Linked DNA regions of Drosophila melanogaster. The gene in region 1 interacts genetically with each later gene. Each region holds a gene or a part of one and is shown on either strand. Other genes may lie near its edges. The genes, in order: red and kar.

What was found.
Region 2: of red (region 1) and kar, changing one enhances a phenotype caused by changing the other (phenotypic enhancement), as found in Drosophila melanogaster (one study listed by BioGRID).

Annotation. Positions count from the first base shown.
Region 1 is NT_033777.3:14,287,005-14,290,931, reverse strand, and holds the start of red (red malpighian tubules), read right to left. Parts: upstream 1,862-3,927; 5' UTR 1,483-1,861; intron 691-1,482; exon of another isoform or gene 472-690; intron 203-471; 5' UTR 160-202; coding exon 112-159; intron 1-111.
Region 2 is NT_033777.3:12,687,560-12,691,486, reverse strand, and holds the start of kar (karmoisin), read left to right. Parts: upstream 1-2,119; 5' UTR 2,120-2,278; intron 2,279-3,365; 5' UTR 3,366-3,398; coding exon 3,399-3,771; intron 3,772-3,927. Other genes in the region: Su(fu) (suppressor of fused), read left to right, coding at 49-1,455.

The DNA.
Region 1 (3,927 bases):
TTTCCTGTTTCATAATTATGAACTCGTAATTGGGATTGACACCTACATACAGGTAGGTAGCCTTGAGTGCTTACCTTTCTAACTAATAGTATAATTAACTAGATTTCTCACCTGCGAATGCAGTTTCCAATCCTTGTAGGCCTTCACAATGTAATCCATTTCCGTGGGCTTGTCTGTTTTTCTGCTTTTCACACTGGATCGCCTGCATCGAAGAACATAAAATATACTAAGTACGGTCACTGCACTCACTGATAGCAATTAACTTTGGTTCATTTTCGTTTTTGTCTGTCCCGTTATCAGCTGAATTCACTCCGCAATTATGAAACAATTAAACGCTGTGGGTATTTTTTTTTTTGTCGAGATTTCTTGGTACATGTTTCTTGGTTTTTTTTTTCGGTGGCTGCCATCAAACGAGGTTGTGCAACTTCCGAGTAATTATTTAACAGACTTTACTTTAGTTTGGGGCTTTACTTTTCTAGTCAAGGCTGGCAACAACAAATCTCTTGTGCTCACTCCTCTTTCGTTTCTTCTGTCTTTTCTTCTATCTGTTTGTCTGTGTGTGCCTCTGCACTTGTGCAAATCTCCAGACCTCGTGGGCGTCACTTTGTGGGTGTGTGCGTGAGTGGGAGTGTGCCGGTGACGTGTGTGAGCGAGTGGGTACAGTCGAGCCACAGTAAGTCGAACTTGTTACTACATGTTTATATATTGTCACATTATATAATAATCAATAATGCGGTAGAAAAGGAAGTTAAATTTCAGCAAAATTATAGAAAAAGTTGGTGCAAACAAATATGCTATTAAAAGTCTTTTTTCAAGTTCCGTTAAGAATAAACACTACCCTTTTAATTGGCCCTAATTCATAATATTCGTTTCAAATTTTATTAAAATATATCTTAAAATGACTTGTACCGACTTCTTATGAACATAATAAAGCTCAAAAAAGTGACATAGAGTGAAGGTCTTTGGGAATTCCGAGTTATGGAGTTTGAACTGTATGTGAATTTGTTTTCCGGCTGCGACAAATTGAAATTTGTATGTACCGCCATTCGTGATATTTTGCCAGTTGACTTTTTGTGTTACTTTTTATCTAGAGGAAAAAAATATCCATTAACTTGTAGGATTTTTCTTGTTATAATTCCAACTGCCGTCGTTCGTGTTGATGCTGTTACTTAAGTTATTAATTTGATTGTTGCTGCTTCTGTGGGACAACAACGAGCAGCTTTTGTTTATGGTTTCTCTAGTTTTCCATCGCCTTGTTTTTTTGTTTTGAAACAATACAAATGAGTGAGAGGAGCAGCGCAGATCACCGAGTGTGTAAATACACACAATCGAGGCTTTACGTTTGTCCCATGGCAACGACAGTAACCGTTCTCTAACTTAAGTAATTGTTGTGCATATATTTCACTTAATAGCAACTCTTCTTTTTATAATATTTTTGTTTATTTGTGTGTATTTCTATATATTCATCTTTTCGGCACTCACAAACACAGATACAAAAGCGGCAACGACGACGACGGCGACGACAACGCGATATATTTTATACGTTTTTTTCCAGCTTTTTCGCCGCTAAACGAAGGCACTAACTAAGTGAACTTAGCCAAAACAACTAAGAGCGCAGCAGGCGAGCGACCAACTCCAAGCAGCACTCAAAAACAAGTGACTGCTGAAATGACTGGCGAACAAGCGACGAGCGACGATTCTCCGCCGCCGGCGAGGTAGACTCTCTTCCAGAAGACTCTCTTTGGGCGTTCAGCTGGGCTCTCGGCTTTCGGTTTCTTCGGCTGGAATTGAAGAATGGCATTATCGCGCACTGGAAGTGCACACAAATACTCATTCGATTCGTGGATGTTGGTTTACTGCCTCCACTGCTTCCACTGCTCACTTCTCCAACCTGGAATTACTTTTCCAAGTACTCACCATAGGGGCCATACGAATTCGTTAGATGATTGTGCCTAATTCGAGTGATAATGGTGATAGCAAACACGTTGGACTAGCCAGCAGGGAAAGAGAATATTACAGGCACAGTGGTTGCATGGTGTGATGAACCATCCGAGTTTTACTTTACTTAATTTACTTTCCCACTTCAGATCACTCATACGCAGTGGTGTCCCTTACAAAAACCATGTTTTAACTGGATGTTGATTTTATTAGATTAAATTGATTAAATTAAGTTTATTAGATTTCATGACAATAGCTTGCATTTAATAATCTAAACTAAAATATTATATAGATGGCACACACTGTACGCAAATAATCGTATGTATGTAAGTATGTACCCGCAAACTTGTGATAATCATTTAAGCAGCTCTCTCTGTTTTTCTGGCACTCATCTTGATTATTAAATGATAACTGGATGACGGCGACAGGTGCACAAGTACAATGATTATCAAGCTCCTCGCGTTTTCTATTAGGTTTTATTGTTTTTTTTTTCCCGAGTTCGTCATAGGATTAATTAGCATGCATGATAAGCCCACGATCTGTGGAGGAATCCCTTTTTCAGCGATGAGCTGGAAATTTTCCAACCAACGCGGACGTCATCGTTTGCATTGCAGATTGCGGTAAAAGTTGAAGAACTATTTTTGGAAATCCGGTGATAGTGGCTATACGCCCGCTGCTTCTGCTGCTGCTGTCAAAACAAGACTTTCATTATGATTAGGCCAACGAATTCGTGTTGTTTGCGGCCCAGATAAGCGCCGAATGACTGTCACAGTACAAGGTAATCCATGTTAGATATACATATATTGTTATCGATACCCCTTATCACTGCGCACCTAAACGGACCGACTAACCATGAGGTGCGGAATGCGTCAGCTGCCAAAAACAAAGCTCGATCTGCCCGTGTTGCCAATAGCTGATAGTCCAAGTTACAAGGAGTTGATCAATTTGTTTATGTTTTCGTGTTTAATAGAAGGAATGCCAGGGAAATTGATTTAGTACCTATTATTAGCATTCATTTGAATTATTTCATTTACTAGCAATAATGGTTGTTATGATTATAGTTTCATTATTATTACTTTTTTTATTTTATTATATTATTTTGATAATATTTAGTTATTTATTATTTTTATTTACATAAGTAATTACTAAATTCAGGCCACAACTATTAACACGTCCTTCTTGGTGAACTTTCTATACTAATAAGGTTAATTGCAATGCCTTTTTGTGAGATAACATCTTCTGAATGTGGGTTACCATTTTTTGTCACTGAACAAGAAATTTACAGGCGCTCAGTGATTCAATTTCCTGCGAATTTTTTGTTCACTTCGGTGAAACGTCGTCGAAATGACGTCGATTTAAGCCACCGAATTACCGCCCTACGCTTCTCGCCCGGCAACAGTTGGATTTACATTGTGAATCAAATATGTGCTAATTGAGCGGACACGTTCGATTCGTTGACCAAAATCTATTTGTTTACATCGCGCCTTGCGAATGCATAAAGCCTTTGGGTGTCTTCCCAAAAAATTGGTTAATAACTTTGGCAAAGAACCAAATGCGAAGTGGACGCAGCTGACAAGTTGTTTATGTGTGTCCGCACATTATGGCTTCATTATGAAATCGCAACTAATCCGAACTTCATATACTGGCATAATGGAATTGCCAATGAGGTGATTGATATTTGCCACTTAGAATGTGGACTAGGAAAATCTCCTGTTTTTTAAATTGTTTACCGAAGCGGTTTCTTTTCTTTCCTTCTTTCCCAATAAGATACCGAAGGGTACTTAAAAATTATATTGAACGGAAAGTGTGATAATATTGGATATTCAAAAATTCAAGGTTAATGTGTTTTGTACACTCCATTCTAAACATTTTAATTACCACAAATTAAACAAATTAGCAGTTACACCGAAAGTGGTTTTAAATTTTGAAAAATACTGTTTTGTAGCAATACGCTTTTGTCTTTGAACTAGCAGAGACACATTCCGTATT
Region 2 (3,927 bases), 1.6 Mb from region 1:
GTATTCCGCAACGTTCCAACTGAGGTCATACTGATCAAACTGGATGAAATGGCCGAGGCGAATTTGGACAAAAAACCTGAGGTGAAGCCTCCGCCGGGCCTTAAGGCCATCATAGACCACCTCGGGCAGGTGTACCCCAACCAGCCGAACCCGCTGCAGGTGACCACACTGCTCAAGTACTGGCTGGGCGGTCAGGATCCGTTGGACTACATTAGCATGTACAACTATCCCGGAGATGTGGATAGGAACGTTCCGCCGCACTGGCACTACATTAGTTTCGGACTCAGCGACCTACACGGGGACGAGCGAGTCCACTTGCGCGAGGAGGGCGTCACTCGGTCTGGCATGGGGTTCGAGTTGACCTTTCGCTTGGCCAAAACAGAAATAGAGCTAAAGCAGCAGATTGAGAACCCGGAAAAGCCCCAAAGACCGCCCACCTGGCCGGCGAACCTGTTGCAGGCCATCGGACGCTATTGTTTTCAAACAGGCAACGGGTTGTGCTTCGGAGACAACATCCCGTGGCGCAAGAGTCTGGATGGCAGTACCACTTCCAAGCTACAGAACCTGCTCGTCGCCCAGGACCCGCAGTTGGGCTGCATCGACACTCCCACGGGCACGGTGGACTTCTGCCAGATCGTCGGCGTCTTTGACGACGAACTTGAGCAGGCATCGCGTTGGAACGGGCGCGGTGTGCTCAACTTCCTTCGCCAAGATATGCAAACTGGCGGTGATTGGCTGGTGACTAACATGGATCGCCAGATGAGCGTCTTCGAACTGTTTCCCGAAACGCTGCTAAACCTACAGGACGATCTGGAGAAGCAGGGTTCCGATCTGGCCGGCGTTAATGCAGATTTTACGTTCCGTGAGCTGAAACCTACCAAGGAGGTGAAGGAGGAGGTGGATTTCCAGGCGCTGAGCGAGAAGTGCGCCAACGACGAAAACAATCGGCAGCTGACGGATACGCAAATGAAACGCGAGGAACCAAGCTTTCCACAATCCATGTCGATGAGCAGCAATTCGCTGCACAAGTCCTGTCCCCTGGACTTTCAAGCGCAGGCACCAAACTGCATTTCACTGGACGGTATTGAGATTACCCTCGCACCTGGTGTGGCCAAGTACCTCCTACTGGCCATCAAGGATCGCATCCGACATGGGCGCCACTTCACCTTCAAGGCTCAGCATCTGGCGCTCACTTTGGTGGCGGAATCCGTCACCGGCTCGGCGGTGACAGTGAACGAACCGTACGGCGTGCTGGGCTACTGGATTCAGGTCCTGATTCCCGATGAACTGGTGCCGCGCCTGATGGAAGACTTCCGCAGCGCGGGCCTAGACGAGAAATGCGAGCCCAAGGAGCGACTGGAGCTCGAGTGGCCCGACAAGAATCTGAAGCTGATCATCGACCAGCCGGAACCTGTGCTGCCCATGTCGCTCGACGCTGCTCCTCTGAAAATGTGATGGTGTCCATTGGTTAGCTAGTAGTTATTTAAATTAATCGAATTGAATCTTCCACTAACGAGTAAGTTTTACATTTATACATCTCATCTAACACAATGCACGTGGCCTTTGCTCCTCGCCGGAGTCCAGTCAAAATATACAAACACATACATATACCCGAAACCACTCGACGGGCCTTTGATCGCAATATGAAAAGAGGAAGCGCCGGCGCCAGGAGCGGCGAACAATTCGCCGGATGAGTCAAGTTGGGGTCAGGCTATTGAGCACTGGAACAGTTCGCTTTGGTGGCTGCGGCGGATATGGCCACTTGCAGGCGGTGGAAGTCATCGCCACCGACTAACCACCAATTGATGGTATTGCGCAGTGGACCGCCGAATGCTTCAGTTTCTAATTCTGGGAATTGATCAATTAGAAGAGCATTCAATTTGAACACAAAATCCCGCCCGGGATCATGTGATTGCGCGAGGAACTGGACCTGGAGCAGCTGCATCATCAGCCTGGCTGATGGGAAACCCTTGACGCATCGCTTGTCTGAGCGTTGCCTAGGTGAATTTTTGTTTACCGCAGAGAACAGTTGCTCTGCTTCTCCGATTAGGCGCCCCTCATCAAGTGAGCGAGCGATTTTTCGCAAAAACAGCTCGTGGAAAATAATTCAGTTTTCTTCATTCCGCCGCCGACGACGCAAGCGTTCGGTTGTGTGCTCGCTCGAGAGGTCTCCACCCGACCACTGATTCCCGCGATTCTCGAGTCGGCTTCATCTGATTCCCAGAGTCTTCAAGTGAATCGCACGTCTGCCTGCAGCGACTGGAGTTCCGGCTTACAAGTACGTAGAGGAGCGGACTTGAAGTTCGTCCAAACGCCGGCGATTACATAAGGGCCAACCCATCGACCGGTGGATGACCTTCGGTTTAGGCAGTGACCCCCCTTGGGATTGAGCTGGGTGTCGAGCGAGCACGTGCATGGCGTTGATAGCGCGAACTTCGGTGATAGCCGCCAAGAACGACAGTGGTTTTAGTTGTATTTCTTTATTTTTACTACAATTCCGTCGAGCGGTTCGCATTACATTGAGTTTTCGCTGTGGCGGCGATGCGGTTTTTTCGGCTGCCCCGCGGCGGGAAAAAGAAACGTTTGCAGAACGGAACGCTGCAATGAACCGTCAACCATAGACAGTAGACCCACCTCGAGCTACCGCGCCCCGAACCCCTCAAGTGCACTCGACAAGGGCATGCATAATCGAAAAATGCGACGAATTTCAGTTATCGCTTGTAATGCAATCTGTGTTCTGCGCAGCTTTAAAAGTGCATTACAATGTTGCTGACCAGATACTAAGCAGGGAAATTGGAGGCGGAATCGAAAGTTATGTGGCCATGATATCTTTGGATATTAATTTGAACCAGTTTTTTTTATGGTTCCTCGTTAACTGAGCTTTGCAATTTAATCCAATTTAAACTTTTCGTTGGCTAAATAAGTGACTAACATGCTAAAGAACAGAAGGGTAACTTATTTAAAGATACAATTTATGTTATTTGAAATATTCAAAAGTAAAAGGCATCCCTTATATCTTTATACCTTTATAGCAATTCCCTCAGCTTATCTCCAGTCGAAACTGAGATCTTCCCTAGTAACTCTCCCTTAAGATCTAGCCTTTGTTGCTCATTTAGTTCGCCTCTGGTTCGCCGACAATGTAAACTGCATTTTCATTTGTCGGGGGCGCAAATAGCGATAAAAGTGTCCAAATATTTGACCAGCCAATTCCGCGTCAGTCGGCGATTATTTTCCGGGATGGGGAAATGCGAGTGGCACTGGTATCATTTCGGCATATTTGGGTGCAGTGTGGCTTACTGATACGCGGAGTGCGTCCAACCGATTCAATGCACTTAAACCTCATACACTATATGATAAATTTGCAGGCAGCACTCCGAATCCAATCCTAGCCAGCAGCCATGGCTGAGAATGAACCGCTGAACGACCTGCAGAGCCAGGTGAATGGTCGTATCCTGCCCGCCGCCAATGGACATACAGCATCCGCGACCAACGGATTGGTGCATGCGAATGGCAAGGATGCAATGAAGCCGTCAGCTCCCGTTCAGAATGGGAATGGCAACGCGAACGGGACACACATCGAGGCGCCCTGCTGTCGGGACATACACGGCAAGGAGCCACCGGACGGAGGAGCACGCGCCTGGCTGGTCATGGTGAGCGCCTTCCTTTGCAACGGCATCATCTTTGGGTTCATCAACACCTACGGCGTTATCCATTCGCTGCTGACGGATAGGCTTACGAAGCTCGGCGATCCGGAGGCGTCCAGCAAAGCGGGTGAGTGTGTCACGGAAATCGGGTATCGAGTATGGGGTATGGAACTTGGGGATGTTTCCCCCATCCATCCGTACACGAAAGCAATTTGTCTATAATCCCTTCAGCCCCTGGCGCATCTATTCGGAATTTATGGACGGCTGCTGCCGGCGTTGATTG